2 linked regions of the Danio rerio genome follow. The protein of the gene in region 2 interacts with the protein of the main gene of each other region in a pairwise test. Links are inferred from orthologs where the notes say so. Each region holds a gene or a part of one and is shown on either strand. Other genes may lie near its edges. The genes, in order: tmem30aa and atp10b.

Evidence for each region.
Region 1: the proteins of atp10b (region 2) and tmem30aa interact in a protein complementation assay, tested with the Homo sapiens proteins (2 studies listed by IntAct, with this or other methods). The link is inferred for Danio rerio from reciprocal best matches to the Homo sapiens genes ATP10B and TMEM30A.

The regions. Positions count from the first base shown.
Region 1 is NC_133192.1:56,061,594-56,078,211, forward strand, and holds the start of tmem30aa (transmembrane protein 30Aa), read right to left. Parts: upstream 8,369-16,618; 5' UTR 8,183-8,368; coding exon 7,934-8,182; intron 5,581-7,933; coding exon 5,461-5,580; intron 3,801-5,460; coding exon 3,693-3,800; intron 3,233-3,692; coding exon 3,145-3,232; exon of another isoform or gene 2,842-3,144; intron 2,650-2,841; exon of another isoform or gene 1,012-2,649; coding exon 865-1,011; intron 622-864; coding exon 409-621; intron 1-408. Other genes in the region: filip1a (filamin A interacting protein 1a), read right to left, coding at 12,810-13,013, 15,266-16,618. UniProt on the Homo sapiens protein: Accessory component of a P4-ATPase flippase complex which catalyzes the hydrolysis of ATP coupled to the transport of aminophospholipids from the outer to the inner leaflet of various membranes and ensures the maintenance of asymmetric distribution of phospholipids.
Region 2 is NC_133189.1:26,617,891-26,634,425, reverse strand, and holds part of atp10b (phospholipid-transporting ATPase VB), read right to left. Parts: coding exon 16,428-16,535; intron 15,416-16,427; coding exon 15,198-15,415; intron 12,067-15,197; coding exon 11,917-12,066; intron 6,965-11,916; coding exon 6,433-6,964; intron 4,779-6,432; coding exon 4,684-4,778; intron 4,600-4,683; coding exon 4,473-4,599; intron 3,038-4,472; coding exon 2,853-3,037; intron 1-2,852. UniProt on the Homo sapiens protein: Catalytic component of a P4-ATPase flippase complex, which catalyzes the hydrolysis of ATP coupled to the transport of glucosylceramide (GlcCer) from the outer to the inner leaflet of lysosome membranes.

The sequences.
Region 1 (16,618 bases), on a different chromosome or scaffold from region 2:
TATTTATTTTATATAATTACAGACGTTACAGTAGGCTATTTGGCACTGTCATTGATCTGCAGTTATAATCAAATCCTGTTCATAGAAAAGTTAGTAATAAACATTTATACACAAGTATTTATGTGTGTAAAGCATCTGTTTTGTGAGAAGTGCTTTTAATATGATATGTGAACGTGAACCTGTGCAGCTTTACTGTAGACATTTCCTCGAGCGAGAATGATGCGACTGAAACTTTCTGTCTTACACTACACCCACCAAAAGGGTACCCTTTATAGTGGAAACGCAAGCCTGATAAAGGTGACCCGTACCGACCCGAACCGTACCGTACTGTACCAGTCAGTGTAAACAAGGCATTAATAGCTCATTCTTGGTGTGAACAAGGCTTTGTGTGGGTTTGGTGAAGGATACTGTAGGCGACCTCCAGGCTGTAGTTTCCCGGCGGTAGTGTTGGGGTCATGGTGTCCTTCTTCTTCTGAATGATGCGGTACAGTTTCCTGAACGTGGGAAGAGCAGCGGTTCTCATCCACACGATCAAGTCCTCGTTGACGAAACCGTTGTTCTCGGGATCAGCCGGGTCCAGCTCGTAGACAGCCTTACGCCAGTTTACAGGTTTGCTGGTGTCTGTGAGGACAAACATTACAGACTCAGGGTAAAAAAAGAGAGATGTGTTGATGTACAGTGCATCCGGAAAGTATTCATATAAAAAAAATAAATAGAAAACCTACTAAAATTTTAAATAAATCATAAAAATAAAACATCTTTACTTGAAATCTGAAAAAAATCTAATCAAAAAGAAATGTGAAACATGAGCTGAAAGGCCCTGCTAAACACATCCGAATGATCGAGTAGACTTCTGAGTTGTACCTTGGAAAACAACGGAGAGGTTGTTGTTGCTTCCTCCTGGGTTTCTGAACTTGACGTGTTTGTCAGTCCACCACGCAATGCCTGTCTTCACCAGATGAATGCCGATTTTGCTTCCGTTTGGATGGATATAAAACAGCTCCAGTGTATCTACAAACATAAAGGAATCACACAGAGCAAACAAACAGACTTAAGGCCTGAGTAAGCAGTGAATATTTATTTTGAGGCTCATAGAAAGCCGCTAGAGCATGTTAGCATTAGCTTTGTTTATAGGGTCTACTGATCCGAGCTTCTGACAGACATTAAATGGTTTATTTATATACTTTTACAATGAGCAGCATGACCGACCTTCAAATTCTCAATAAACTTGTGCTAATTCTTCATTTAAACAGCATGCAAAAGTACACATAAGTGCAAAAGTAACTGCCGCCGGTTGAAGGTGCAATTGTTAGCCTTCACTGTAAGAAATGTTGGAAATGAACAAAACAATCGGCCTAATACAAAATATTATGAGACTAAAATATGGGAAAAATGTCAGATGGTTCTTTAATTCTGTAAATTTTCCAAACGAATAAACAGCACTCGGTAATATTTCAGCATGCTTTCACTTTCGTATTCGACATGACACCATGTTATTGGTAGGAATGACATCCCACCCTACTCATAATTCTCCCTTCATGTAGCCATATATATGGCTTTTACATATGCATAATACACTGTGATATAGCCTGGTTCGTTGGCTTATTGAGTCGTATTGCTTTCTCACTACAATCAATCTGACCCAGGGTTTGTTTCAATTGAGCCGAGTCCACCTCATTAAGGTGACCCTTGATTAATAAAGGGACTAAGCCGAAAGGAAAATGAATGAATTAATTAATAATTAATAAAAATTAAGGTCTCTTTTTAATAGTGGCCTTAACTAATATGTACTTACACAGGATTTAATAGTTTGTTACAATGTACTTATTGTGTAAATGCATGTATTTACTGTGTACATGTTTGATCAAATACATGTATGTAATTACATCTGTAATTAACTTTTGTAATTACATTTGTTAATACACTGTTGACAATCCTTTACACCTTAACCCACCCTTAAACCTACCCACACCACCAAACCTGCCCATAACCCAACCTCTATCCCAACTGAAAAGCACCACAAGTGTTCTCAAAATACATTATAAACCCAGTAAGTACATTGTATTTAGTTTTTTGATGCAAGTACATAATAGTTAAGTACACTTAATATAAAGTGGGATGATAATTAATAAAAATAAAAAAAAACTTGTGTTAAGGAGTTACAGATTTTCGTAATTACAAAGAAAAAAAATTTGTTTTACAATGTCATTACTTCGAAAACTGCCACGTCCCAAAAAAGGCATCAGTACCAGCGAGTAAAAGAAAAAAAGTATCTTAAAAAATGGTTTTGGTGCATATCTAATTCACACAAAGAATAAACAACTATTAAAATAACAATATTGGTTTAGCACAGAGGAAATATTATTTAAATAGTCTAAATGAACAATTAAACTATTGAAAGAAAATTATTATCAAGCATTTAAAACAGCAACATGCCTTTGTAATATTCAAAGCCATATTAGGCACTAAGTATCATTAAGGTTATTACAGTGGCGTAGCGCAAAATGGGGAGGCCCCCCTGCAGGGATCACTGACGGGGCCCCCAGTTGGAGAGGTGTTGGTTGGGGGGCAACGCGGGGAAGTAATCACAAATTGAGGAGCAGGGAAGGAAGGCGGGGTGGAGCGACAACGCGGGGAAGCCTTCACAAACTGAGGAGCGATCACAAACTGAGAAGCGATCACAAACTAAAGAGCGGGAAAGGGGGGGGGGCGACAACACAGGGAAGCCTTCACAAACTGAGGAGCGATCACAAACCGAAAACGGCGAGAGCGTCAAAGTAGCCAGAAGTGATTCATTTTCAATGAGAAACGGCGGTGAAAAACATCGCGGCGCGTCTTCACCTGTGTGAGTGTCGAGGAGAGTTGAAATCAAGTCAACTTTATGGTATGAGCTATGACCGAGCTTGACTCGGTTCGGCGGCAATCATAATGAAGTAGTCCACCGGTTGAGAGGAGTTCAGAGAACACAGACCTGTGAACATTGGTTCCGACCACAGTTGTTTTCAAGAGTTTGATTATTGAGGTTGCCGGATTTTCGCGACAACGTGGGGCCCCCTAATCACGCGGGGCCCCCCCACGGAGCGTGCCCTGCGGGCCAGTCCGCTACTCCTCTGGGTTATTAGTATTATGAGCCTTCAGTCTTACCGTTGAAGAGACTGTTAGCAATGGCGCCGCAAGGAGCAATGGGCTTCCTGTCACTTGTTCGATACGGTTCACACTCTTTACTCGGATTCTGTAAAACAAAAGATTTAAACACTTGAAGACAACGTACAAACTCGATTCAACAATTCAGTAAGTATGCTTGCTAGGGCCATGTTTACACTAATTACACATATTTGCAATATGCAAACGACAATTAAACAAAAGTAAACTCTGAGCGGAAAAGCATGTCACGTCAGTCGCGTCACCAAATATATATATATAATATATATATAATAAGGCTTTCATTGACAATCATGATAGCCTTTTGTAATGCTCTTTCTTTGTATACACTACCAGTATACTCTTTAGTTTTGTTCCCAACAACTTACTGGCTGTTGTTACCACTTCTCTTTTGGGCCTCAAGCATTTCCATACCATCAGATCTCACAAAATGCACCAATATTAAACTATAAGTTTACACAAAACAAAATTAAATATAATATACTAAAGTCAAAGTCAAACATTTAGTCAGCATATGTCGAAACACTCACCAGTAAAGAGCTTTTGTCTCCATTCAGCTGACTGTCATCTCTGGATTTGACATAACGTCTGTGGTTTTGATAGAAGTTGGAGAGTCCGTAATACATGAAAACATTACTCTACAAAAAAAAAAGAAGTTAGAGGTTAAAATAACATCCAGTCACCAGCCATAAAATCTTTTATACTGAGGCTACTTCAGTGTTGTTTATAGATCATCTGAACTGATCTCTGTTATAACAAGAGCGGAAAACAATTCTATTTTTAACATATTAAAAGGTGCGATCAATAAAACGTCCTCTAAATATACTAATGCATAATACATGAGAGCTAATGGCACTTTAGGTGATTTGTTTGACCATCCAACGGTTAGCAGACAAAGCAAATATACAACATAATGGAGCTAGAGTTAAATATATCTCTAAATTAGTTCACGCTTGCTATGCTTTTCATTGATACCTTCATATGCATTTATAGGTTTTTGTTAATGAAATAACTGATGTAGCAGTGACAATGATGTTGATTTCTAAATGTGCTTTAATATAAGTAAATCTTTCAAACTCAGAAAATGTGACTTCGTATTATCCTGTGTTACTATAATCATAAACAAACAGAGAGGTATATTATTGTTAGTATTGTGAAGTATTCATCTGTTAAGGCTTTTGCTGCTGACAAAATGAACATATTTTTCAACAAACTGCAAGCACAAAAGTAATCTAAATGTAATCCAAATGTAGTCAGATTACATTTCCATAAATGTGTTATCTGTTTTTTTTTATGTAATTTGTAGACAACAACTGAATATAGTTCATAATTTAGCTACTCAGTTTTCTTTATAAAAGGTCACTCACATTAAAACAATTTCTGTGGTAAAATACATAGTGTTTTTGAATCATACTATAGTAAAGTAGTTGAATTCATTTGTTGTAGTAAGTTGCTGGTAATACAACAACTAATAACAGAAACAAATGAATATTGTAGTACAATTTTTACAACTTCATAGGGTGTAATAAACAACAATAGACCAGTTTACTGCAGTAAAATCTATAGTACACTGGTTTAAAAGTTGTAACCGTTTTATTAAATGGAGTTAATAACTAATAAAATTCTATTGTAATCCTGCAGTTATTCTTTTGCTAATTAATTTGTTTAAAACATTTGTTCGATTTATAGATAATGTATAGATAATTAAGCAATGCATTAAGTATCTTTTTGATTAAACCTGCTAAAGTGATCTTTTTTTAACCATATATATATATATATATATATATATATATATATATATATATATATATATATATATATATATATATATATATATATATATATATATGTATATATATATATAAATTAAGTAAGATAAACTTATTTCATACCAAAAAAACATGATTATTTAACTTAACGCATTGGCAGATTATTTAGCTTGTTTTAAGGAAAAACTAACTTTATTTTGACTTATTTCTTTAAAAACAAAAAAAAATAATTTTTTACTTGTCTAGAAAATGCTTTCTAGATTATTATATTTTATTTAAATTTTAGATCTTTGATTTTTAAAAAGAAAAACATTTTCTGAAGTGTAACACAGTGTCCTAACACGCAATAAAATATGTCTCTTTCAAGTTAAAAGGAGTTTCTATTTTAACCATCTGCGACTGCGAAATTTCTAATTTAGAAACAGTTTCTATTTCCGCAACATCGCAGCAAAAAAAACTTCAGATCTAGAAAATAAAACACAGAAACACACAAATATGATGTAGGTCTAGCAGTGTAAAGTGTGTTTACCTCGAAAGGCTGGTCTAGTGTGAAGGGAACAGTGCAAGTGCACACACTAGTGCTGTTCCAGCTGTAGTTCTGTGCACAGTTGTAACACGGACTGGACATGTCGACACCAGTGTAGTCGATCTACAACACAAACAACAACAGCACAAGTTACACAATAACATCAAACTACTATTCACGATGCTACTATTTTATGTTGTAGGGCTGTGCAATATGACATATATATATATATATATATATATATATATATATATATATAATTCATTCATTCATTTTCTTGTCGGCTTAGTCCCTTTATTAATCCAGGGTTGCCACAGCAGAATGAACCGAAAACTTATCCAGCAAGTTTTTACGCAGCGAATGCCCTTCCAGCCGCAACCCATCCCTGGGAAACATCCACACACACACTCATACACTACAGACAATTTAGCCTACCAAATTCACCTGTAACACATGTCTTTGGACTGTGGGGGAAAATGGAGCACCCGGAAGAAACCCACGCGAAGGCAGGGAGAACATGCAAACTCCACACAGAAACGCCAACTGTCGAACCAGCGACCCAGCGACTCTTGCTGTGAGGCGACAGCACTACCTACTGCGCCACTGTCTTGCCTATATATATATATATATATATATATATATATATATATATATATATATATATATATATATATATATATATATATATATAATTTTCTGTAAATTCCTAAGTATTTACTCAAAAATCTACTCATTAATATGTGATCAGATTAAAACTTCAGTGTATTTGTTTCTAATTATAATTAAATATTAATGAAATTTAGAAAAAAAATTCATAAACTAATGATTTATAGGCTGAGCATAAAATATTGCTAAATAAAATGTAAATATGTTTCTGTCTTTATCCTCATAATGGCGTATAATATTACGCTTATATAAAATTATGAAAAGTATTAAACAATAAATTTTGTAACAATACAATATTAAGGGTATAGTTCACCCAAAAATGCTAATTCTTGTCATCATTTACTCACCCTATATACGTTTAAAACTTTGAGTTTCTTTCTTCTGTTGAGCACAAATCAAAAGAAAACCTGTAACCATTGACATACACATTATCACTTTCCCTACTATGGAAGACAATGGTTACATTGAGGTAACGCTGGTTTTATAATCACACATTCATACTTTCTCCCTAACAATATAATTTCAAAAAGAAATATTTGCTTATTCTATATAGTAAAATCACAGTAGCAGCTAGTGACTATCAAACTGCAACATTGTTCAATAAAGGTAAAGTTGGTTTTATATTCACACATTCATTCATTGACAGCTCCATACATTGTTTACCATGGTACTTTGAATATCCGGACTGAAATCACATGACTTCAAAACAACATTAGCACTATTTAATCAACTGTGAACAATGCTGTACTTTGATGGTTGCTGGCTGCTAATATGATTTTGCTATTTACAATTTCCAATTAATACTTTTCTGAGACTTTATTATTAATGAGAATGTGTGAATATAAAACCAACTTTACTTCTATCATTGTTCAGTCAAACAAATAGTGCTAATGTTATTTGAAACTCATACTTACGTGTGATTTTAAATCAAATATAAAAAAATTAAGGTAAAGTTGGTTGTATATTCACACACTCGTTCAGTGACTTGTGTAATATTCTCTAATTTTTTTTTACCATGGTATTTTGAATATTTGATCTGAAATTGCATGCATGTACGGCATCAAGACAATATTAGCACTATTTATTTGACTGTTAACAATGATGTACTTTTGATAGTCACTGGCTGCTAACATGATTTCACTATTTATTTATTTAGAGCAAAGAATTCTTTCTGAAATTATAATAAGTCCCAATGCGTAAATATAAAACCAAATTTCCCTTAATGTATACAAAATATGATAGTAAACAATATAGGGAGCGAGTCACAAGTTGTCACTGAACGAATGTGCGAATATAAGACCTTACCTTAATAAATAGAGGTAAAGTTGGTTTTATATTCACACATTCGTTCATTTAGCAGTCTATATATTGTTTACTATGTTACTTTAAATATCCGATCTGAATTAGCATGCAAGTGTGACTTGAAAACAACATTAACACTGTTTATTTGACTGTGAACAATGTTGTACTTTGAAAGTCATTTGCTGCTAATATGATTTCCCTATTTAAAATTTGCAATGAATACTTTTCTGAAATGATATTATTAAGGGGAATGTCTGAAAATCCGAAACTTTACTTCTATCCTTAATAATGGTTACAGGTTTTTAGCTTTCTTCGAGCTATCTTCTTTTGTGTTCGACATTTGAAGGAAACTCACAAAGGTTAAAAACAAGCAACGGGTGAGTAAATAATGATTTTTGCTTGTCAATTTTGCTGTGAACTAACTATTTTAACGATAGAATATGAATAGATAGACATTTTATATTGTCATACTGCACAGCCCTGACGGTACTATGGTGAAGTTGCGCACTTCAAACTCTTTGATGTTATTGGAGGTGACGAAGAGTCCGATGCCGATGGGGATGAAGATGAGTCCGATCATGAAGAAGGCAGGCAGGACGGTGCCTGCTGTCAGGATGGGCTGCCAGGCGGGCAAACGCTGCTGTTTAAAGGCCGTGTTGTCCGGCTTCTTGCTCTTGACGGCGCCCGGGCCGCCGGAGCCCACCAATCCCGGATGATGACCGTCCTCCTCCTTCGCGTTATAGCTGGACGCCATCATCGCGCTTTAATCCTTCAAAGACGAGCACAACTTCAAATGTATGTCCTTGGTTGGGTACAGCGTGTGTTATATCGCCGCTATCGATGGTTTTGATGGTACAATGACCGCGCCATTAAACGATGGAGATTATTTCCGTAGCGCTTAGTAGGATGTGGACAAGGCGATAAACAAGGAAGTGCTGCAGCCAATAGACTTGCAGCGACGCTGTGACGGCATCACATGACGACTAAGGAATAAAAACAACTGTTTTTATTCCCCTGATAATCTCTTAATACAGTATGCTATGCTCTTTTACCGGTATTTTAATATGTTTGGTATGCATTTGTGTCTTTATTATTATTATTGCTGTTGTTTGCATGTTCCTGTTTGTTTCTGAAATAGAAAATCAGTGATGCAGAGATGAGCAGTATTTTAATTTAAACGTGTTTAATATGCATTCAATAACTAAATAGGTAGTTCATCCTTTGTATCTTGCTGGAGAAAATACAAAATGTAATTTTTATTTAAAGTCCAGGTGAAATCAAAATTTACAATGCTCATTTTGCTAGCGCACATTGTTATTCTTTAGGTGAACAATGGGGTATATGCACAGCAGCGAGCGTTTCTTCCCATATTATTAAACGTCTGGTGAACAGTTAATGTGGCTTGTACAATTTTATATGTTTTTTTTCTTTTACAGCATCGATGTTTTAATGTTTTTAAAATATAGTCAGTTAAACAGACTTATTAAATTAAACAGACATTTAATCGGTCAAGCATAAAATGAGATGAAAGACCGTTTACCAGCACAAGCTGTCAGGATCAGCAGGCTAGTACAAAAGCTCCTTTGAATAATCTGGCGTAAAAAAAAATGTTCATATTTTTAAGACATGGCATGGACAGACATCCAAAGTTGAGAATAGTCATTCCCGGGCAAGACTGATGATTTGTCGGAGTTTGCGGGAGTTATGCTACGTAAAAATATCTGAAGATCGGGTGTTGGTGGTGTTTAACAGGATGTGTCTGAAGAGCAAGGAGGGATGCAGTAAGAAGGGTGCGCAACGTATTTGAGGACCGGGAGGGAGACCCGCGATTTTCAAGAGATTATAACTCGCTTGCAGGCATCCGGGAGTCTCTGTGCATTTGCGGGAGACTCCTGGAACTTCCGGGAGACTTGGGATGTCTGCGTGGAAAAATGTTATTTAATGCACATTCTGAGACTCACTTTATATCACATATCACACTTTTGAGACTCTCTGCGTTTGATTTTTTTTTTATATATACACGTCGTTATGTCGTTGAACTGTTGGACACAATATCACACTTGTAGCAGTGCGATATGGCTGTATATCGTTACTGGTGGGACATTGAGGCACACCTCCCACCAGTGCTGATATACAACCATATCGCACTGCTACTCGTGTGATATTGCTCACATACACACATATACATATATATATATATATATATATATATATATATATATATATATATATATATATATATATATACTGTATATATATATATATATATATATATATATATATATATATATATATATATATATATATATATATATATATAATATTACATATATATATATATATATATATATATTATAAATTCATTAATTTCTTTTGGGCTTAGTCTTTGGCTTAATTACTCACGGGTTGCCACAGTGGAATGAACCGCCAACTTATCCAGCATATGTTTTATGCAGCGGATGCCCTTCCAGGTGCAACCCATCACTGAGAAACACCCATACGTTCTCATTCACACATATGGACCCATGATGACCCAGTCGAGGCTTAAACAGGCAACCTTCTTGCTGTGAGATGATAGCGCTACCCCTTGCCCTACTTATACTGTTAAAAGAAATAATAATTTAATGTATGTATACACATCATTTGAATTGCATAATAAATTGACAAAAAAAACATATTTTTGACACATAAAAGCAAATCATTTCAAGTGGTGCTCGCTGCAGAGCCATTTGAGGAGAGCTGAGCTCCAGCGAGGGGGAGCTTAAGCTTGAGCTCCACCTTTTTTGCACTTCTTCTACGAGTGATGTCACTGGGGGTAGGGTTAGGGGTGGGGTTGGTGTACGCATTAAAACAGCTTACAGGAGGAGGAGCGACAGCTCATGCTCCCCCTCGCTGGAGCTCAGCTCTCCTTAAATGGCTCTGCAGCGAGCACCCTCTCAATCATTTTACTTAGAAACAACAATAAAAACAGACTGTACTTATCGGAGAGAATCACAACAGAAGTATCACAAACAGAAAACCTTTGGTCTGAAATCATGTACATTCCTTCGTTAAATATAATCATAAACAAAAGTATTAAAATACATCATTTAGTAGGTATCATTTCTAAAATAAACATGATATACAGTCTTTTACCAAAAACAATTTATTTTTTCAAAACATAATAACAGCAGAAGAGATCAGAGCGCTCATCTGTTGAGCTCACCTCACCCATGATGAGCTCTGTGTTGACATCTTTCCTCATCAATGTTGATTGTGTACACACCTAAACTCTACAAATGTGATTATTCTGCAATTACATGAGCTGTGGCATCAAAAACACTATTTGAGAAACTTCCAACGAGTCTAAAAAACCCTGATAAAACTTGTATTACGGTATAAAGAAATATTATGGCATATATTCATACAGTAAGAGTAATAAATAATATTTTTTTCATTTTTGGGTGATCTAATCCTTTAACCTACTAACTTGTCAACTTGGTGTTTATTGTTAATAAGTGAAGTTTATGTATAAACAAATTTCGAGAGGATCACGTGCTTATGATTGCTAGCAGCTGGATCTGCATTATCCAATTCACTACACTCCAATCAGATGACTCCTAAACTACTATAAATACCCTGGGTTTCATTCCAATGCTATCTTTGTTTTGAAGAGTCCCCCCTTCCTCCCCTACTCCTCCTTCTTAGACGGGTGATACGGCGGCCCAGTGCGTAGCACTGTCGCCTCACAGCAAGAATGTCTCTGGTTCCAGGCTTTACCAAACCAGCAGACATTTCTGTGTGGAGTTTGCACTTCTCCCCGTGCTCACGGGGGTTTTCCCCGGGTTCCCCGGTTTCCTCCCACCGCCTAAAAACATGCAATTAAGTTAATTGAATACTCTAAATTGGCACTATAGATATGCTTCTAGTACGGAGTTATCTTCAAGAGCAATCACTTACTGTTCATTGGTTACTACAGCAGAGGAGTTCTCGAGATCTACCTGAGCTCAAACTCCCCTCCCGCCTTGCAACGGGAGGGAGCCCTGGGCTCGAGGATCTCCTGAGCTCAGGGCTCTCTCCCGGGACAGCATGCCAAACAAGCTTGTATAATTAATCATCAGCTAAGTGTGAACTCTTGAAATCCTGATTTGTGTAAGGCAGCGTTAATAGATCATGACTATATTAATTATTACACATGTGACAGGGATGATGTATTTTTTGTAGGCTAAAACCCATAAACAACATAACATTTTTTCTTGAAGTCAGTTGGGTTTTTTAATTGAATTTAATTTTATAGCCTCAAATGCAGTTTATAAATGCAGAAATAAAAATGTCCTCCTCATTTACTCAGACTTAAGTGGTTCTAAACATTTATGAGTTTGTTTCTACTGTTGAACTCAAAATAAAATATTCTAACGAAAGCTGGGAAAAGAAATAGAAGTCAAAGGCTGTTTTCTTCAGTATATTTTCCTTTATGTTCAACAGAAGTAAGAAACTCAAGCAGGTGTTGAACAAATGGCAGAATTTTTATTTTTGGGTGAACTGTGCCTTTAAGATATAAAATTCATGATTAATTTACGAAGACTGTGTAAAACACAAACACAAAACGTATGAATCTTAAACTAGTCAAAGAGCCTATTTTTGGCAATACAAAACCAATAGAAAAATCCTATTACATTTATTTAACTAAAACAAGTTATGCTAATTTCTGGTGTGTCATAACTATCTATAGACCAAGGCAACATGTTTCCTTTCCTGAAAAAACAAACAAAAAGCGCTCTGGGGTAAGCTCAAATGTATGGTCGGTGCTCTTTGGGTAAGGGATTCATCAAAACAGCAACAAGAATCAGTCCAAGGCACTCGAAATTAGTGAAAAATTAAAAAGCCTTTATTCACATGGCTAAATCTCCAAAAACCTACGCGTTTCGGCAGGAGTCTGCCTTCATCAGGGCAACAGTGATCAGGTGCGTCTAGAGTCTCCTTTGAGTACTACGGTCACATGACTCATTTAAACATCTCAAATGGCACTCAAATAATTTAAGCAAAGTCTACTATCATCATAAATTCGGCATAGATACACAAACACCCACTAGCATATATGGGAAAAAGAGAGAGAGAGAAAAAAAATGGAAAATACATATATATACAAACACATACATCAATGTATAATGATAATCTGTAAAGCATCTATAGAAAAACTCATTCATTTTCTTGTCGGCTTAGTCCCTTTATTAATCTGGGGTCGCCACAGCGGAATGAACCGCCAACTCATGTTTCCTCTCCTATGTAAAAAAAAAAGTCCTCCCTTAAATCTCTGCCACACATAATAATTTCACAATCATGAATTTTCTTTGGCAGTAGAGTAAAATGCATCTGTGGATCTTGTTTGTGTGGTACTCTCCGTCTCAGCCCTTCCCTCCGGCCTGTAAGGCTCCATTACTAACAGCTGATTTTTTCAGGTCAGTGTGAATGGCCTCCGCATTTGTTTCTGATTTGGCTCCTGTGGTGAGTCCCAAAGCTCCCAGCACAGCTTTTCCGGTTTTCATGCCCCGAGACATCGGGATACGACTGAACCCTGATCGTGCTGATGGGACATCCAGGACTGGCTGCTGTTGAGAACCAGAAAAACAAGTAGCATGATTTAATGAGATGCAAGGCCTTTTTGTTTTTTTAGCCAGCCCAATTTCAAGGAAATGTACGTACCTAGAGAAAACGTGTTATTTCATATGAATTCATACAATTCTATTCATATAAAAATGTACAAATTTTTAAAAAGAGGCATGTCAACAAACCCCATTCTTAACTCTATCCCTTATTTTTTGTTTTTTAGCCAGCCCAATCTTGAGGAAATGTAGTTCTTTTATGAATTGTCAGAAAAAAAAAGACTATTTCGTAACAAATTCATATGATTTTATTTATATAAAAACATACAATTTTAAAAGGAGGCATGCCAACAGGCCTTACCCCTAACCCTGATTTTTGTTATTAGCTAACCCAATCTCCATCCCCTAGCCTACCCCTCATTGGAGGATCAGCAAATCATAGTGAAATGTCTAAATGAGATTGTACGAACTAATACAAAATTAGCCACAAAATCAAATAGTTACTAACTTGCTTCAAAGATGTGACGATTCAAATTGGCAGGGATGTTAAAAGAATCACGATACATGTTTTAAACAACAGGAACTGTTGCGTTCACAGCAGACTTGCTCAAGATGTGCAACATTTTAGTTTAAAGATAGTTTAAAACAGTGGTTTTTAATTCTGGTCCTTGGGCCTGTACATTTTGTATGTCTTCCTTACACCTGATTCAGATCATTCGCTTTCAACTGGTTTAAAGCAAGTGTGCCGCAAGCCTGCGTTTGAGTGAAGGTCTCGGCCGTTAGATCGCCCCCTGGGGGCTGGCTGCAGTACAAGTCATAAAGCCCGCCTCCTCCGTGTTAATGAAGGAGACTTGAGCCCAAATAAAAAATGTTTTACACTTGCAATAAAATGTCCCGAAAGATGGTTCTGGTGGATTAAGGCACTGGTTATAGTGCTGAAATAGCTGCAGATCTTCATTTTTGTAAAAAATTTGTTTTTAGCATTAATTTAATGCTGGGCGTGTCATCGTGATTGACAGCTGTGATTGACAGTTTCTCAAAGCAGCGCATCTGAGCTTCGGCAGGAGACTGAAGTGTTATTATTCGATTTCTGTGTTATTTTACCATGACAAAATGAGTTCAGCAGTAAACTACAGTTTCTGACATACATGATTCTGGTGGAACACTGTTTATTCTTTAAGGTCAGGGCTTTTTTCTAGCTTTATAAGTTTGCTGATACACGCCTAACCACCCAGATAGCAAAATACACTCGGGCCAGTTCAGGCTAGATTCTCGCCTGCCGGAGACTTACTCCTCAGAGCTCAGACTGACTACCTCTGCTGGACATACTCCGGATGCCTGGACTCACTGCCCGATTCCAGCCCGAGTCAATCGAGCCAGATGCGGCGGCCGAGCGAGCCGGCGCTGCCGCATGCGAGCCGGAATCAACCCGCGACGCCGCGAGTATGTTATGCGCTGCGGCCCGGAGCTGGCGCGATTGAATATATAAAACCCTCATATTTGTTAACGTTATTACATCCATTTGTGTTGATATGACAGCAAACGCATGCTGAGAAGTTCGGGGGACGTGGTTGATTTTACATAAAGCGTTTGGTTGGAAGCTCATTTTCGCGGCTCCTCCTCTGGCTCCATCAGACAGTCCTTTTGCGCATGTCAAGGCTCCAATTTCAGCAGTCTTTTGCGACAGTTTGTGCCCGTCAAGCAGGCATTTTGCCCTCAAGGCGTTTAATGGGAAAAGGGGCTGTCGCGTCGTCCATATTTTTTACACTCATTGGTTTAAAGAAACAACAAGTGTGGATGTACATTTTAAAGTAGCTTTATTCCACAGGTGTCAAACTCAGTTTCTGGAGGGCCGCAACTCTGCACAGTTTAGTTCCAACCCTAATTACACACACCTGATCCTACTTACCTGAGTCTATTGTCAGGTTGGAACTAAACTGTGCAAAGCTGCTGCCCTCCAGGAACTGAGTTTGACACCCGTGCTCTATTCTCATTTAAATCAGGAGAACTAGAGAGACCTGTGAAACACAAATGTCCAGCCCACATCATCATGCTGACAGCACAGTGACTTTATGTTCTTTGTTTAACCTCATTAATTTAATTTAACACACTTGTAAAGAGGGATGGAGCCTTACTAGGGATTTTACCATTTCAATCATATTATGAAATCCGTGACAGTAAACATGACAACAAAATATTTTTATTTTACAAAGAAAATTTTTTTGTGATTATCCATAATATGTAAATGTTGCACCTACCACTGAAAGTGTAGGTCTGGCTGGTGCTTTAGTGACCTGTGTGATGGCGATGCTGCTCATCACTTTGCTGGTTATTGATTTGCTTGGAGTCACATTGTGTGGCGAGCGTAGCACAGTTCCAGTAGGAACATCCTTACCCTCGGATGAACCAGAAATAGATTTGACCATGACGACCGAGCCATGATCAATGATCTTCTTGAACTGTGATCCTAAGTGGATGTGAATCTTGCTGTCTTCTGTGGTAACAACATTAGCATTGGACTTCTTGATGGGTGTGGGGACCATTCGTTTCTCAGGAGTTTCCTTGAACACAGCTCTGCCTGTTATCATGTCCACAGACTCCTGGGAGCTGCTGTTGGATGCGACTGAAACTGAAGATAAGGGTCTGTCGGTAGAGGGAGACCTCGTGATCTCTGCACTCTTGGCTCTTGAGATGGCAGCAAAGGTCAATGGAGATCGAACTCTTTCTGGATTCTTTGGATTCTCCTTGATTCGTTCAATTGTTGGAATGGCGGTTGTCTGAAATTCTTGGGTTGGTTTAACAGAAGCTTCTTTGGTCGAGTCCTCGGATGGATCAATGCAGATCTGCAATGTTTCCTCTTTGTTCTGAATATCTGGGATCACCTGATTAAGGGACATGTTGACCTCAGAGGGTGCACTTGTATCTGAAGATACTTCAGAAGTACTGCTGTCTTTCTTCCTCATCCAAGGAATCCAAGACTTCTTCACAGTAATGTCACTAACCGTTGGAGGGTAGAGCTCACGCACTGTTGGTCTCTGCGCAGGCTTCCTCAATGTCCTCTGCTGAAGACTACTCATGATCCGGTTCTCTTCTTGGACAGACTTTTTGATGAATGCAGCAGGAGTGTCACTGTCAGAAGTCCTGTTTTCAACTGAATCGGTTTGTACCCCAGTCGATGTCATAGGAACATCCAACATTCGGCTTCCTTTGACGCTTGGCCTCATAGTGCGACTGTAGCGCTTGGAGACCTCAAGTTCTTTGGTGAGGTTAAGGATTTCAGTGCTTATGCTCTTTTTCTTGTCCTCCTCCTCTAGGAATCTCTGCTGCAAGACAGAGTAATCCACCTGTAGCTGGGAGAGCTCATCTTCTTTGTTCATGAGCTCGTGAATCTTCTCCTTCAAGGCTTGCACTTCTGCTTGAAGGTCTCTGGTTTTGGCTTCCTCCAATTTCAATTTATGTCTCAGTTCAACCTCTTGACTGCCTATCTCACCTTGCTCTATTGACTTATTTAGTGCAATCTGACTTCTTATTTCTTGTACCTGCTTTGAGAGAAAGCGTGCCTTTTCCCTGTCAGTTGTTAGCAAGTCATACTCTGGTTGAATCAGGTCCCC
Region 2 (16,535 bases):
CCTCAGGTGTCTTGTGGCACATGTTTGCGTGACGTCACATCAAGTTGTCAGCATTTCAAATCTTATCTTACACAACATTACCTAAGTGTAGCAATGACAGCACAACCTCATTAATATTCATGAGCTGAGACATGCCATGTCACGAAGCCGCATCCACCCTTAACATGACTGCTTTCAGAATATATCTGGGTTATGTCTAAATTTACTTTTCATGTTACATAAATGGCTTATGATTCCCTCATTTCCAAACAGATTTCCATTTGAGGGATGAACTAAGATGACAAATAATCTTGTACCTTTGGTTAAAAAAAACCTACTAGGGCAATAAAAAAAGTGAAGGTTTTAGATGCATAAGATGATGCGTTTACAAAATGTGCGTAAAACAATATGTGTGAGTCTTCAGGAAGGGATTTAATGTTGAAATGAAAGTAGAACGGTTTCCTGCCCTCCTCAGAAGTGTGAAAATGGGATTACAGAGCAGCAATATGAGCCATTCAAAATGGTGAATGCACTTTTTCTCAGCTCTCTTAAACACAGACTCAGGCAGACTTGAAATGAAAAACAGCATATCTGACAAATTGTTGCAAGCGCATTTATGTGTTTGAACACGCTAAGCAGAACTTCACTCTTGAGGGGATGAACCCTTGCAACACTGAAGCCTCTGTTGTCCCAGATAAACCAATTAACCCTTTTCCTTTTGTGCCGCTTCACTGTTTTAAATCCTAAAAAACACTTGCAACATATGAAAAACACTCAGCTACTCTTAATGACCTGATTATTCCTGTTAAATGACCCGGTTAAATTATGTTAAAGTACCCTTATTATTGTATAATTAAAGGTTACTAATTTTGTTTTTGAGGTCTGCTAAAATAGGTTCAACTTAATTCAAGGTCAAAAAACATGAAATGTAATAATTGTAACATTGCAGCATCAGCTCTTTTTTTTGTTCCAGGGTCTGTTTTTTTAACACATCTTTCCTGAGAGCCTACTGTGCTCTAAATGGTCAGATCTTCCAGTCTGTGATGATTGGACTAGTCTTTATAGCATGTCTTGGAAGCCAAATGCTCATTACCATATCTGAATCATAAGGGGCTGTTTACACGACAACATTTTCAGCAAAAAATAATCTCCTGGAGTATGTGGTAGTGTTGTTGTTGCTCAGGTGTTTGGTAATGCTTTAATTTGGATTCATTCAAATGTAGGTTATTTGGAAAAATTATTGTGTAAACAGTAATTTGGTAATTTTCATTCATTCATTCATTTTCTTTACCACAGTGGAATGAACCGCCAACTTATCCAGCATATGTGTTATGCAACACATGCCCTTCTAGCAGCAACCGATCACTGGGAAACACCCATACACTCTCATTCACACACACACACGGTCAATTTAACTCACCCAACTAACCTAAAGTGCATGTTTTTGGACTGACTGTGGGGGATACTGGAGCACCCAGAGGAAATTTGTTGTGAACATGGGAGAACATGCAAACTCCACACAGAAATGCCAACTGACCTTTATTATTGAATTGCTTTAACAGCATTATTACTACTTTATTATAGCATTATTACTGATGGATTACTGCTTTATTATAGCTTTATTAGTTTTTGCTGAATAATTATTGCTTTATTACTGCCTTATTACTGCATAATTGCAGCTTTATTATTGAATTAGTATTGCTTTATTATTGCTTTGCTACTGCTGTGTTACTGTATATTTATTGCTTTATTACAGCTTTATTTCCACATTATTGTTTAGTACTGCATCATTACAGCTTTATTACTGCTCTGTTACAGACTTGCTACTATATTATTACCGCTTTATAACTGCTTTACTACTGCATTATTACTACAGCTTTAGTAAAGCTTTATACGCTCTATCACCTCATTAGTATTGCTTTATTATAGCTTTATTACTGCATTATTACTGATTTATTACAGCGTTATTACACTTTTTAACAGATTTGTTACTACTTTTACTGCATTATTATTGCTTTAATACAGCTTTAGCACAGCTTTATTATTGAATTGCTTTTACAGCATTAATACTACTTTATGATTTTTACTGCTTTTTTAGCTTTATTGTTTTTACTACATAATATCGCTTTATTACTGCCTTATTACTGCAAAATTACTGATTTATTACTAAATTGGTTTTGCTTTATTACTCCATTGTTACTGCATTTTTACAGCTTTAGTACCACATTTTTGTTCATACTGCATTACTAATGCTTTATTACTGCATTATTTATTATACTTTTAAAAATTTTATTGTAGCATTAATACTGCTTTTTACAGCTTTGTTAGAGCTTTATTACTACATTTCATATGACAGATTAAGGAAGAAAACATACTTTTTTATATAAAGGGTGGGTCAATTACCTTGCCATTGCAAATATACTTAAATTGTGAGAAAAAATATTTTTATTTCTTCTTTGTGAAGTATACGCCACAATCAATTGTTTTGTTCACAACTCTCAATTTATTATTCATGTATTATTAAATTATTAATATTATATAATAATTAAATTAAAATAATATAAATAAAAATAATATTTTATCCAAATATAAAGGATGTTTTAGAGGTTAAATAATAATTATTTTTTTACATTTCTGTGCAAACAACTGCATTTATTTATACTCTTCCATTTTTTTAGACCTGTCACAATCACAAACAGCTACATCTCACCCTATATGAAGGTAACATTCGAAAAGCATTATGGGGCACTTTAATGTCATACGTTAAATAATTCTTCTGATGAAGCTGGTTGACTAACAGAGGCCAAGTCTTTGTTAGGAACAACATTGTAAAAGCATTAGTTAGCTGGCATTGAATCAGCCAGATCAGATACCTTCTTGTTTGTGGTGAAAGTGAACACCAGGTCTTCATGGTCCAGCAGCTTGCAGGAGTAAGCGATGTTGACAGCCGTCTCGGGTTTGTCTCCTGTCAGCACCCAAACCTGCATGCCAGCCCGTCTCAGAGCCTGAATTGTTTCTGGGACGTTTTCTTGGAGCCGATCTTCAATGCCAGTGGCCCCTGTGGGTACACAAGTTAGATCATGTCACCAAACTGTGAAGATGCTTACCATAGAATTGACTTTGAAAGTTACACTAAAATATATCTGTTAATTAACAGTTTACTGTTTTGTGTTGCTTACTTACAGTTGCATTATAGGACCTAGATCTCTGCTCTGATGACTTTTAATGTTAAAAATAAAAAAATTAAAAAAACTCTAACAAAGTGACTTTTATTGACATTTTAGTAGTTTTAAATAATATAATGTATAAGTAATAATGTATAAAGAAATAAGTCTGTAATATAAAAGAAACTGTACTGGCAATTTATTACAAGGTTTTTCAGTTATAATTAAGCATAGACCTATCACAATATCTTTTTTTTTTGTTGTTGCATGATATATTGCACCAAAATATGTGATAAATTATATTATCGTAATTTTAAGACCATTTTATGCCACTCATTATATAAGGACAGAATGACAATATAGTAGCATCACAATGCAAGAACACTCTTCATATTTTATTCTTAAGAATATTTCATTTAATCATAGTAATATTAACAATTTAATAACTAGACATTAGAATCAGAACGTGAAAGCGTATATCCTTAACAAATAAATAATAAAAAATATTAACAAAAATGTGCAAGATAAAAAGTAACTGCAATACGTGCTACCTTATCTAATTCCAGTTTTCAGATACAGTACCCACATAAAACAATTGCTATAGTAATGTATAATAAAACCTATAGTGTTTTCAACCATACTGAGAGTGACACATCCAAAAGAGATAGAGAGGTTGTGCAATCAGCGGAAATGTTGCTAGTATTGGTTTGGGCGATATATATTGCATCACCAAAAATGATTGTCCATGTGTTGTGTGATAAGTCGATGTATTGATTATTGTCACAGGCCTAAATATGTAACACCAACCCAGGCAATATATCACTTTAAACTATTACAAATATTAATAAAAGTCACTTTTTAGAACTTTTCAAGGTCAAAAGTTTTAGAAAGAAAGATCTGAAAAATGAAAAATAAAAACATGAATGAAAAATATGGAAAACTGCTAATTTACAGACATTTTTACAGTGTATTTTAGTGATTATGACATTCATAATTTGTGTGTTTTATAAAATATTAATATATGAAGAGATCTGTTAGTGTTTAATATTAAGTTACGATAATTTTTTTCTGCATGTGTGCATTTTTAGGGAGGTAATCGTTCAGACATACTCAGAATAATTAAAACATTTGCGGAAACCTATTACCTGAAAACACTTAACTAAATTTTTTTTTAAAGTTAGGCTTAAGATAGAATTTATTTTTTAATTTTGTACTGAACAAATAAATTAACCTGAACAAGTTGCTTGCAAAAATATCTAGATTAAATATTAACTCAAAGTGTAAAGGATAAGTGCATTGTAATATCAATGAAGGGAGCAGAGATTATACCCAATAGAGTGAGGTTGTTCTCAATGTCATTTGCGGTCTCCATGAGGCGTTCTTCTTTCTCATCGATGGCTGACAAAGCCTCTTGTCTGCTAGTAAACCAGGCCTTGAACTCCTGTTCACTGATAACCTTTAGAGAATAATCCAGCAAGACTATTAAGCAGTTTTCAAATATAGTTGGTTTTAATGTATAATTTTCCAACCAAAACTTTACCTTTTTGGCAAAGCACAGTGTTCGTAATCCATCCCTGGCGTACATGTCAAGGTCTTTTTGAGTTCTCACAGCAATTCGCTTCGCTGCACTTTCAACTGGTGACATATTTGTGGAAAACAAATGACACTCGCAACATAGGCTCGTTCTGAAAACATAGCCCAATATACATTTCTGGAGATCAAAAATTATGTAGCCAGCGCTATGTATGGCTGCATTTTGTTTTAAAACAAAAGCTATGGTGCAGTATGAAGCCGTTCCTTTTCTTGCTTTTCAGCTGACCAGCTGACCTTGACGGCTTTCCTGCTTAAACCCGTTTGTACAGTTAGCTCTTCATGTATATCGGCAGACTTGAGACGCATTGAGGAGTTGACCACAACGACGAGGTTTGAGTCCGGTAAAGAACGGTTCCAGAAAGCAGGTAAGACAAAAACAGAAGCCAAAAAAATAAAATAAACAAGTAAATAACAGGGTGAGAATGTGGTAAAATCTAAAAAACATGGTAAAAATTAGGCGAGGACCTGTTTTTTTTTTGGATTGCTTTTTACAACTTTTGGTTGGATTTACGGAAGTGAGTGGGTGGGTCAATCAGTGCTTTTGAAAACACTATTGGTTGGGTTTACGGAAGGGGAGGGATGGGTCAGCTGATCGGTCATTCAGTCAGACCTTCAGTCAGTCGTCAGTCGACAGCAGCCTCTGGCAGGAATGGCACTCGCCAAAGAAATTTAACATCTCAAAAAGCACACACAGCAGCCTCTGATGGATTCGCAAAAAAACTGCAAAAAAAAATTAGCTCCTGGAATGTATTTGGTGCTCTCCAGAAATGTATATAGCAACACACTGCATCACTTTCAGATCTGCCATGTTGAGTATATTAGCCAAGTAAATGTACAATTATTTACAAATAGTTTTTATAATTTAGCTATTTACATTTAAAATTTACAAAATTGAATATTATTAAAAAAAAACTTCACTTTAAATATTGTAGGGGAGTTATTGTGCAGGTATTTGTATTCTTTAAAAAGTGTGGTAAAATGAATGCAATGTGCCAATATAAAATAAATGTGTGATGTAGTAAAAAAACACTATCATGGTTTTTGACAAAATATTAAGCAGCAAATAATCATATTAAAATGATTTTCTGAAGAATAATGTGACACAGAAAACTGAAGTAATGATGCTGAAAATTCTGCTTTGAAAACAGGAAAAATACACTTTAAAATATATTCGGATAAAACAAACCTGTGTTTTTTGTAATATTATTTCACAACATGACAGGTTTACGGTATTCATGATCAATAAAGGCATCATTACACTCAAAATGTGTACATTTTAGTAGTAGTATTTTGTAAGTAATCATAAAAGGGATAGTTCACCCAAAAATGAAAAATATCTCGTCATTTTCTTCTGTTAAAATATTTTGAAATATTTTGGTTGCTGGGACCCATTGACTTCATTCAATTTTTTTCCCTTCTATGAAAGTCAGTAGATCTCAGCAACCAGATTTCTCCAAAATATAACCGAAGAAACTCAAATATGTTTTGAATAAGAGAGCGTTTGTATCCCTTTAAGATATAAAAAGTGTACCATTAAGCTACCAATGTGGACCTGTTAGGTGCAAAAGTGTAACTTTTGAAAACTGCTCCACTGACAGGTTGTGTGCCTTTATTTCTCAGAATGTAGAGACCTCAAACTATTAAATCATGTATGTTGCCTTAATGTATTTGATCTGACTGAATATTTCATGCTCACCTGAGAAAACATTCCCCAGTTTCTCCATAACAGCTGAATCAGCCCCTTTAGTGTACATGATGATTTCATTGGTGTGCGGATGACGTACTATAATGGACATCCTCCGCCGCGTCGAGTCGAAGGTCAAGACGTCCAGCACCTCAAACTTCAGCAACGTTTCATTGGGCAGCTTGACAGTCACATAACGAGGAGTGCGTTCGACCATGGTGAACCCATAAGCCTTTGCTGCGTGTATCAGAGCGGCCTCATCTGGACTGTGGGCCTCATAACACACCTCTTCTGACCTCGACAGACTGCGTTTATCCTTGCCTTCACTTGAAATGACCTTCTGGCCCGGCCTGGAGTCTGAGACACTGGAGATGTGAAATGTGTCTGGCTCGTCTTCATCTATAGCAAAGGGATCTGCCATTGTCTCTCTGTTTCTCTTAAACCTCATAGAGGAGAAAAACTTTTGCAGAGAGCTTATTTTGAACCACTGTCCCATGTTGTGACTCGAACTTCCTGAGTATGAGGAGTTACGACGGCCTTTGACCTGGAAAAGAAAACATTTACTTGTTTTAAAGATGATGTATATAATACTTAGTGCAGTATTACTGCTTTATTACAGCCCTATAACTGCATTAGTATTACTTTATTACTGCTTATTTACAACTTTATTACTGATTTATTACTGCTTAATTACAGCATTATTACTGCAGTAATAATGCTTTATTACAGCTTTGTTACTGCTCTTACGTATGTTACTACACTATTATAGCTTTATTACTGCAGTATCATTGCTTCATTACTATATTATTACTACTTTATACTAGCTTTATTACTGCATTATTACAGCGTTATTATTGCTCTATTACAGTTGTGTTACTGACACTACAGTTTTATTACTTCATTATTACTGCTTTATTACAGCTTTATTATTGCATTAATATTGTTTTATATCTGCCTTATTACTGCATTAGTAATGCTTAATTACTGCATAATTACAGCTTTATTGATACTCTAATACAGCTTTGTTTCTTCATTAATACAGCTTTATTAGTGCATCATTACTGCTTTATTTTGCATTAGTATTGTTTAATGGTATAGAGCTGCTTTATTATTGGATTATTACTGCTTTGTTACAGCTTTATTTCACATTAGTATTGTTTTCTTGGAATTTGAATGTCTTTGTTGTGCCCAAAGGGCAATTAGGTTTACAGCAATAGCCGACAGTTAGCAGCAATGGGTCACAATCGAACAACATAGAAGTAACAGTAAACAATAAAACTAACCATGACCACGAAAAAAAAAAGTAAAAAAAGTAATCCAACTGCAGTTGGAACAAATGAATGCAAATGTTGGACCCTGCTAAAAACAAGTATACCTTCTGCCTGATGGCAAGAGGCAAAACTTTGAATAAAGTGGATGGTTCTCATCTGCAAAAATGAACATGGGTCTCTTTATGACTTTCACCTTATAGACGTTCAGTACTGTTAAGATTTGTGCCCACAATCTTTTGAGATAGATGATCAATTTTTAAAAGTCTGTTTTTACTTGTCACCCTCAAATTAGCATACCAGCATATTACTGCAAAAAGATGATGCTTTATTACTACAGCAATATTACTGCATTATTACACTTTTTTGCATTAGTATTGTTTTATTACTGCATAAGTATTACTTTTTAGTGCATTACTGCTTTATTACAGCTTTAATACTTCTCTATTATAGTGTTATTACTGCTTTATTTAAAGTTTTATTATGCATTAGTCTTACTTTATTATTGCACTATTACAGCTTTGTTCCTCCTTTATTACAGCTTTATCACTGTGTCATTACTTAATTTCACATTAGTATTGTTTTATTACTACATTAGTATTGCTTTATTGGTGCATTATTACTACATTGTTACTGGTTTATTTCACATTAGATTGTTTACTGCATTTGTATTGCTTATTAGTGGATTATTACTGTTTTATTATAGCATTTATACGTTTTTTTACAGTGTTATTACTGCTTTACTACTGCTCTCTTACAGTGTTATTACTGCTTTATTGCAATGTTATTACTACTCTATTACAGTGTTATTACTGCTTTATTGCTGCTTTATTACGCTTTAGTATTGCTTTATTACTGCATTTATTACAGCTTTATTACTGCTCTATTACAGTTATTACTGCTTTATTACAGAGTTATTACAGCTTTATTGCTGCTTTATTACTGCATTATTACAACTTTATTACTGCTCTATTACAGAGTTGCTACTGTTTTATTACAGTGTTATTACTGCTTTATTACAGGGTTTTTACCACTTTATTAGTGTTATTGCTGCTTTATTACACATTAGTATTGCTTTATTACTGCATTACAGCATTAGTACTCCATTTATTGCTGTGTTATTACTGCTTAAAACAGTGTTATTACTGCTTTACACTTTATTACTGCTTTATTATTTATTAGTATTGCTTTGTTACTACATGCATTACAGCTTTACTGCTCTGTTACAGCTTATTACCGTTTTATTGGTGTTATAACTGCTTTAATATGCATTAGTATAGCTTTATTACAGAATTTTTACAGCTTTATTACTGCTCTATTACAGCATTAGTACTGCTTTATTAGTGTCAATACTGCTTTATTACTGCTTTATTGCAGCAGTAGTACTGCTTTATTAGTGCTATTACTGATTTTTATTTTGCTTTATTACAACATTAATACTGCTTTATTACAGTGTTGTTACTGCTTTATGATGCATTAGTATAGCTATATTACTGCATTTCTGCTCTCAATTGTTGTAATATTGATTTTATTTAAACAGTATATTATTGGCAAATGTTTTAATTAAATACATTTTGAAAGGTCATAAAAATTTATACATATTCACAACACTTTGACCCTATGGAATATGATGAAAGTCTATTTCATTATCACTTTTGCAACTGAACAGTCTAAAATAGATGTTGCTCAATCAGGGGAAAAAAACACATGGATCATAACTTAAATAAAGCTGACTTCAAGCAAACGTAAACAGTATGTAGTCTAAAATAGATTTTACAGAATCAGGAAAACACATAGAAAATGGTGCATATGAAATAGCATACAATGTACAACATTGTATTTGAAATTTCATGACCATTAACAAAGTGCATTCAACAGTATACAAGCTCCTTATTTTAGCTCTAGTTTTAGAGTATTGGCTGATTAAGAAAAAAAAAAAACATGTTTTGTCGGCGTTTGTTTCACCTTGCCTAAAACGTTGTCTGTCATCATCAATGGTAGCCAATAATTTCATCCATCTGATGCATCCATTCCTTTTTAATCAACTTTTTTTGAAGGCATGATCTGTGCCATCTGGTGTTAGGCCAGTTTCAGTGTGAGTGATAGAAAGTGTGATGGTATGGTACAGTACAGTATGGTATATGTATGTGTACTTGTTTATGTGACCTATGAGGACACTAAATAGTATAACATTAGTTTGACCTAGTTGTACTATATGAAGATCTTTTACAAGGAAATGCTTAAAAATCATACTCAACATGGTCTTTTGACATTTAAAATTTGCCACATTTTCCTGTGAGGCTTGGGTTTAGGGGTATTTTAAACTTTACAGTTTAAAATAGATTACACCAATGTTGAGTCCTCATAAACTATATATGAGTGTGTGCGTGTGTTTGTGTGTGTGTGTGTGTGTGTGTGTGTTGTGTGCGTGTGTGTAATTAAGCAGAAAAAAATTTAACTAAATAAGTTATACAGTTATAACTTAAAGCCTTATTTGTTTAATCTGATGTAATTGACAAACACCTTATAATGACATAGGAAAAATAATATATTATATATGTCTAATATTTGTTAATAGCCCATTAGTGGAGGGAGAGTCTCATCCTATTTGAAAAGCAAAAAACATCATGATGTAAAATGTTGTCCCTCCAGCCTCCCGTGGCTTCCCCGCTTGATGGAATGCATTTTAGAAAGCAATGAGGAATCCATCGCTAAAAAAACATTGCTGAGAAGATAAATCTAATTTTCTGTAAAACTGTGTGTTCAGTTAATGATTCTAAAACTGAAATATTGCAAATATTAAAACTGAGTCCATGCTGTCGGCCGGCACTCTAATCCGCTAATAATCTAGTTCTTCAGGTGCTGCGGATCCGCATTCATTGTGACTGCCTCTTAAGTTGTGATGGACCCAGGGTGATACAATCATGCTCCATTGGTAATCAACTTAATTAATGTTGACCCAATGTCTTTGAATGTCTCAGTGCTACAGGTCTGAGGCCAAATATAATTTCTACCCTGGACAAAGTGCTTTGCTCGGGGTCCTCAAGTGCAATTTGGGAAATTAGCACTGACCAGCAGTGAAGGATACTCAGCTACACTAAACTTCTCTCTCAGACTCAACTCATTACAGACGTGTGGGGGGACGCAGTCCGCCTGACTGATGAAAAATCTAATTGCCTGGACCAAGTAAGCCATTGGCGCTTGCTCGAGAATTAAAATGTAGTAATTATAAAACAAACCACCGGGCTGCGAAGCACTAGCCAAAGTTGAATTAGTCATGCAGGGGCAGTAATAAAATATCTCGGGGCAACGGGACTGCGGCCACAGGTACTCACTGTGCAAGAGGCATAATTTACATGGTGGGCTATTATAGTTATTGTTTTGACATGAGGGCAGTTTTTTTTTTGCTGTGAGTCAGAGAGCTAAGCATGTCGCCAAACCCTTTCAGCTCCAGCAAGGTCAGTAGTGTCAAGCGTGCTTACATTCTGACTTTGGGCCATCAGTGTGCAAATATTCTAGACTTCTGACTGATTTATCTCTAAAAAAAATCTTCAGTTCATATTTAGAAAAAAAAATAAAATTCTGATTTGCATTATTTTGAATTTATCTCCAGATTTTGGAGATCATATTCTGCAATTATGACATTTGAATTCAGAATATATGTTGCATTTTCTTTCAGAACAAGATGAATTAACATCTTGCTATTCTGAATTTTATTCACAAATCTAAAAAAAATTTCAGAATTCTAAAAATATGCTCCAAACTCTTTTCTAAGAATTCTGACTTCATATTTAAAAAAAATCGTGAACTAACTTAATAAAATAATAATTTTATAATAAAATTATAAAAAAAATAAGAATTTAATGTGAATCTGTGGGCCGGATGATTAAAAATAATTTTGTATTGAAAGCCCTGGCCATTATCAATAGAGAATGTAGAGAATGGCTTAATGCAGTAAATATATTCACTTTTTTTCTGGCCTTATTTCAGAGACTGATACATTCATACATGCTGTTTACATATTGAGTCATCAAGCATTAGCCATTAATATATCTTTTAGAAAAGCCAGAGGGTAAACATCTGGCAATTCATATTTTTTTCCTGCAGTATTCTGCACTTACTATACATCTACCCTTTTTTTCTCTGAATTCTGAGTCTGCATCTCACAATTCTGATTTGTCTGGATTTTAAATGTACATCTCAACCCTTTCAGCTCCAAACAGCTCACCCTCTGTCTCTGGGCGGTCAATGTGGAAACCACCACTGTGTTGCAGATGGCCAACGCCAGAAAAAAGTCCAGGTAGGGCCCGGTCTGAATGCTCGCCATCTGATGGTCCACTTCCAGCATTAGCTTCCTGTCTGGAACCACCACTGTTTCCTGTTTGAGGAAATAAAAGCGGTTAGGCGCGTGCCTGATTACATCATGCACAACAAGACCATGTGGTATCTTTCCATAGGTGGAAAATTACACGTATCGTATGACAACAAAAGGCACATCGTCACATGAAGAGGCAGCGGGACACGAGACAATCTGTACAGTATCAGTAGCCCATGTTTAATGCACCCCAGCGGCCCCATATGTCAACCGATCGAAACATAGCGGATCAGAGCCAGCATTGCTGTGCTCATAACTGACACCAAACTGCTCGGCCATCTGCAGGGCAGACCGTGAGCATGCAGGAGAATAGAGGAAAGAAGATGGGTCAACGATAAGATGTCGGGGATTATTTACTTCAGCTTCATCGTTTAAATCCACGAGGAAAAACATGGTGTCATTTCTAATAAATGACTTTTTTAATTGATTGAGTACAGACTGCAGTAAAATTCAGTTGTCGCTTCATGTTTTAGTGATTAATCCTGTTCTGTATGCACAACAGAGTTTGGTCACTTACAGGCATGATAAGCGCATTTGCTAGCCTATTTCTGCATTTTCCAGATTATATGCAGTGTGTTAGCATCCAAAGGAAAAAATAGTTTAATAAAATGAGACGCATCAGAGTTCTGTTTTCAACAATGAATAAAAATGTTAAGAAGGTAACTCCATTTAAATAAGGTAACTGCATTTTTATCACAGTTGCCAGTTGATAGCTCACAGTTCAGAGTTTCTTTAGAGTTGTCAATTTATATTTCACCAGTTTTACTTTTTTTTTGCAATCTCACATAATTATTTAAAATTGTATTGTAATTTAAACTCACAATTCAGATTTTTTTAAATTAGAAATTAGAAAAATGAGTTTTGAAATGTATCCTTTTGTTGTCAAGAATTATGAATTAGCATCCGGCTCTATTGACTTCATATCAATTTTAAGGTTATTGCACAATAAATCCTAAATTTTCGTCCATAATTTTCACACGTTAAAAAATAAATTTGACCTCAGGTTGTGTGAATCGCACTGACACACTGCCTCCAAAATTTTCATCCAGCATAAAAAAAATCTAACCGGGTTTGATTTTTTTCCACTTTTCGCATTCGAAAAAGCACTTTGAGAGGTGTTTTGACAGTTGAGTCACCGTACAAGCAAAAATCTAATTAGGCTACAGAATGCCGTCATTTGAGCTACAGATAACTTTATCATAAAATAAAGACAGAATGTGGTGAACAGCTAGAGAACCCTTACATGCTGGATTCAGTGACTGGCAAACCTCTACCCTGCTGCTGCATGGTGTGTGTGTCCTTACATCTGACGTACAGCCCATAGACATTACAATAGAAATAATGGTACGCCTTCGATATGTCAATGCGGCCGCCATCTACTATAATGTCTGTAGGTACTGCCAGTCTATCTTCAGGATTTGTTTACATATGTAAATGTGGTATCAAAATACAACTGATTTCCTGAAATAAACTTCCGGATAATCCAGCAGAGCTCTTTAATAATGAGTTAAACTCTCCTTCCAATTTATTGGATAAACACAATATGCAGCCTAGTTCTTAATTGGATTGATTAATGCGCATCGGCCTCAGTGTGCAAGGTTTGTATAAGTGATGAATTTTTCGCATTTGAATACGAAAAAAATGCACCCAAAAATTTCAGACTTCAGTGTGCAAAGATTTATTATTATTATATATTTTTTTAAGTTTTAATTTTTCTCTTGTATGTGTTGCCAGATTTTGTTAGAAAAACATCAAACATTAATGCTCCATTCACACGGGGCGTCAGTGTCAACACTTCCCAGTTGTTGCCAAATTGCATTGTGGATCCGTCAGTGCTACTTAAGTGGTGTTGCTCACTGCAGAAGTTGGGAAATTCTCAACTTTTCAATCGCCAACAGAAGTGTCAGTCAATTAGATCGCTTCATGCAAATACACCAGCTCAGACAGTAGCCAATTGCGGACTAATTTCAGTGGCTGACGCTGCTATGACAATCACGTCAGCCTTAACTTCAGACACATCCTCGGTCAAACGTTGACGTTGGAGCCCTGTGTGAATGCATAATAAGAATTCTCATAATAAACCAACATACATCTAAAAGAGGGTTTCTGCAGGTTTCATCAAGTCAAATTTAAGATATTTTAAGACTTTTTAGACCATGACGAATGAAATTTTAGACTTATTTAGGGCTAAATGCTAAGGATTTTGTTATGGCTCAGCAAAAAAAAAAAAAAAGTACTTGCTCCATCATAAAAAAACCCAATTAGCTATTTCTAAGCCACATATTTTAAATAATGCGTCAAAACAAGCAGAGCCTAGTTCTTTACATAAATATTTTGCAACATAACTTTAAAAAAAACTCTTTAAAAACTAAATGTATGGACAACAGACTGTTATAATATTAGTCATAAATATAGCTATTGTGTTTTATTAACGGGGATTGGATGTTTGTTAAATCGATTGGGTTGCTTTACATAAACAAGGGAAAATTAAGACCCGTTTAAAAGTTTTTAAGTCCTACAAGACAATATTTCAGTGAATTTAAGCCCCTGCAGATACCCAGTAAAATATGTAAATAAAAAATAAGAACAAAAGTATCCCAACACACACCTCCACACTTTAAAAACACTATGAACATAATTTCTTTAAAAGCTAAGACAAACAACATATCTAAAACTGCTTATAATAAGTGCCCATGGTAACACTTCTATAGCATATTTTGTGAAACAGCCTGCCAAACATAAATCAAACACGATGCTCTTTCGACAGTTGTTTAGTTGAAATGCTGAATGTAACAGTGAATGGTCACTTTAATATTACTCTGTTATCTGCTATTGACCAAAGTACGTGAGATTCCAGAATGTTGCTATTGCCAGCACACTGTCAATCATCACAGTTTCAGAACAGAGTCTGTTGTATACAGATATGGAGAAAACACATTACAGTGTGCACATGGCCAAAGAAACTGGCAAATAAAACAAGCCTCTTGTTTATCTACTAAATTGCCGTTGTGTCAAAAAAAACTGCCAATTTTAATAAAGCACGAAAGAGACGTTTCTTTCAAAACAAATCATCTAGAATTGCCAATCTTCACCCTGAAACGCAGATATAATAGTCTTCTGATCTAGGATCTCACCAGAGGACTGCTGAAGGCCATGTCACTTTGGGCTCCCGCTGCCACTTTTGATCTGCGTCGACTGGCAGCTGCGACTTGAGTGTTGGCGTGATTTTTGTGCCCCGTGTGGTCGTCCTGTAATTCTTCCAGAGGGAAGAGTGGAGGAAGCTTTGTCTTCTGGTAGATGGTGACCTCCTCCTCTTCATTTCCTCCACCATTGATGACCGCCAAGCGAGCAGCTGTGCAATGTCAAAAATAAAGCTTGTTAATTTATTAATTATAACCATTAAAAGTAATGGATAAAGTAGCTGACTAAAATCCATTTTGACACCAAACATGGCTCAAAAATCCATACAAACTTAGAAAAAATGTTCTTTCACATTGCTGAAAACAAATGAATTAATCAAATACAGTATGGTTTTATATTGTAATAATTTCACATTTGGTCTTCAAATAATGCATATTTTAAATGATTTACTAATACTTTTACTTCTAATGATCTCTCAGAAAATAGATTTTTTGTAATATTTAACCACTAAGCCTACACTTTAAAACAATCCTTAATTGGGATGTCGAAAAAAAAGTAAATTAACAGCCTTTAAATTACAGGAATTTAAAGTAGAATAATAAATGTTAAATTACAGAACTTTCCTTAAATTTAAATTTCTGGTAAATTTCTGTATTTTAATGTCTGTTATTTTATCGTAAATTTCTGTAATCTGATGGCCGTAATCTACGTAATCTGACGGCCCCAGCTGCCGAAAAAAATCCTAAAATTATGGATATTTTTACAGTGTATGAAGTATAACTTAGAGAGCTCAAAATGAAATGTTATATATTTTCAAAAACAACAACTTATACAAACAATCTTAAAGATATTTATATCAGTTATATGTAGTTGTTTAATAGCCTTTTTTGTTTAATGACTTAACTGTTGACAGCATTGATACAGCATGCTCAAAAATTAGGTGCATTTTAATATGATATAGCAGTTTAATCTCAAAGAATACTGTAGAGAGCTCGCTTTTTTCTAAAGCCTCCAATTTGATGTGGTCATGAAGACATTGTGAATACAAAAAACGCAACTTTTCTTAAGAGAAAATAAGATTTTCTTCTCCTCTTTGTTAACTGAGTTAAACATTGGAATACTCTTAAACTGAAAATGAATCACATGCGTTAACACACTAATTTTGGACAACACTTTTAAAAATATATAAAGTATAAAATATAAAAATTGTTTGGATCACGCACCGTTCTCTTCATGACAGTATTCGGTCCCCATGATGGTGCAGCGCTTGAATACCATCTTGTTTTCTGTAAGAGTCCCTGTCTTATCAGAGAAGACATATTGGATCTGTC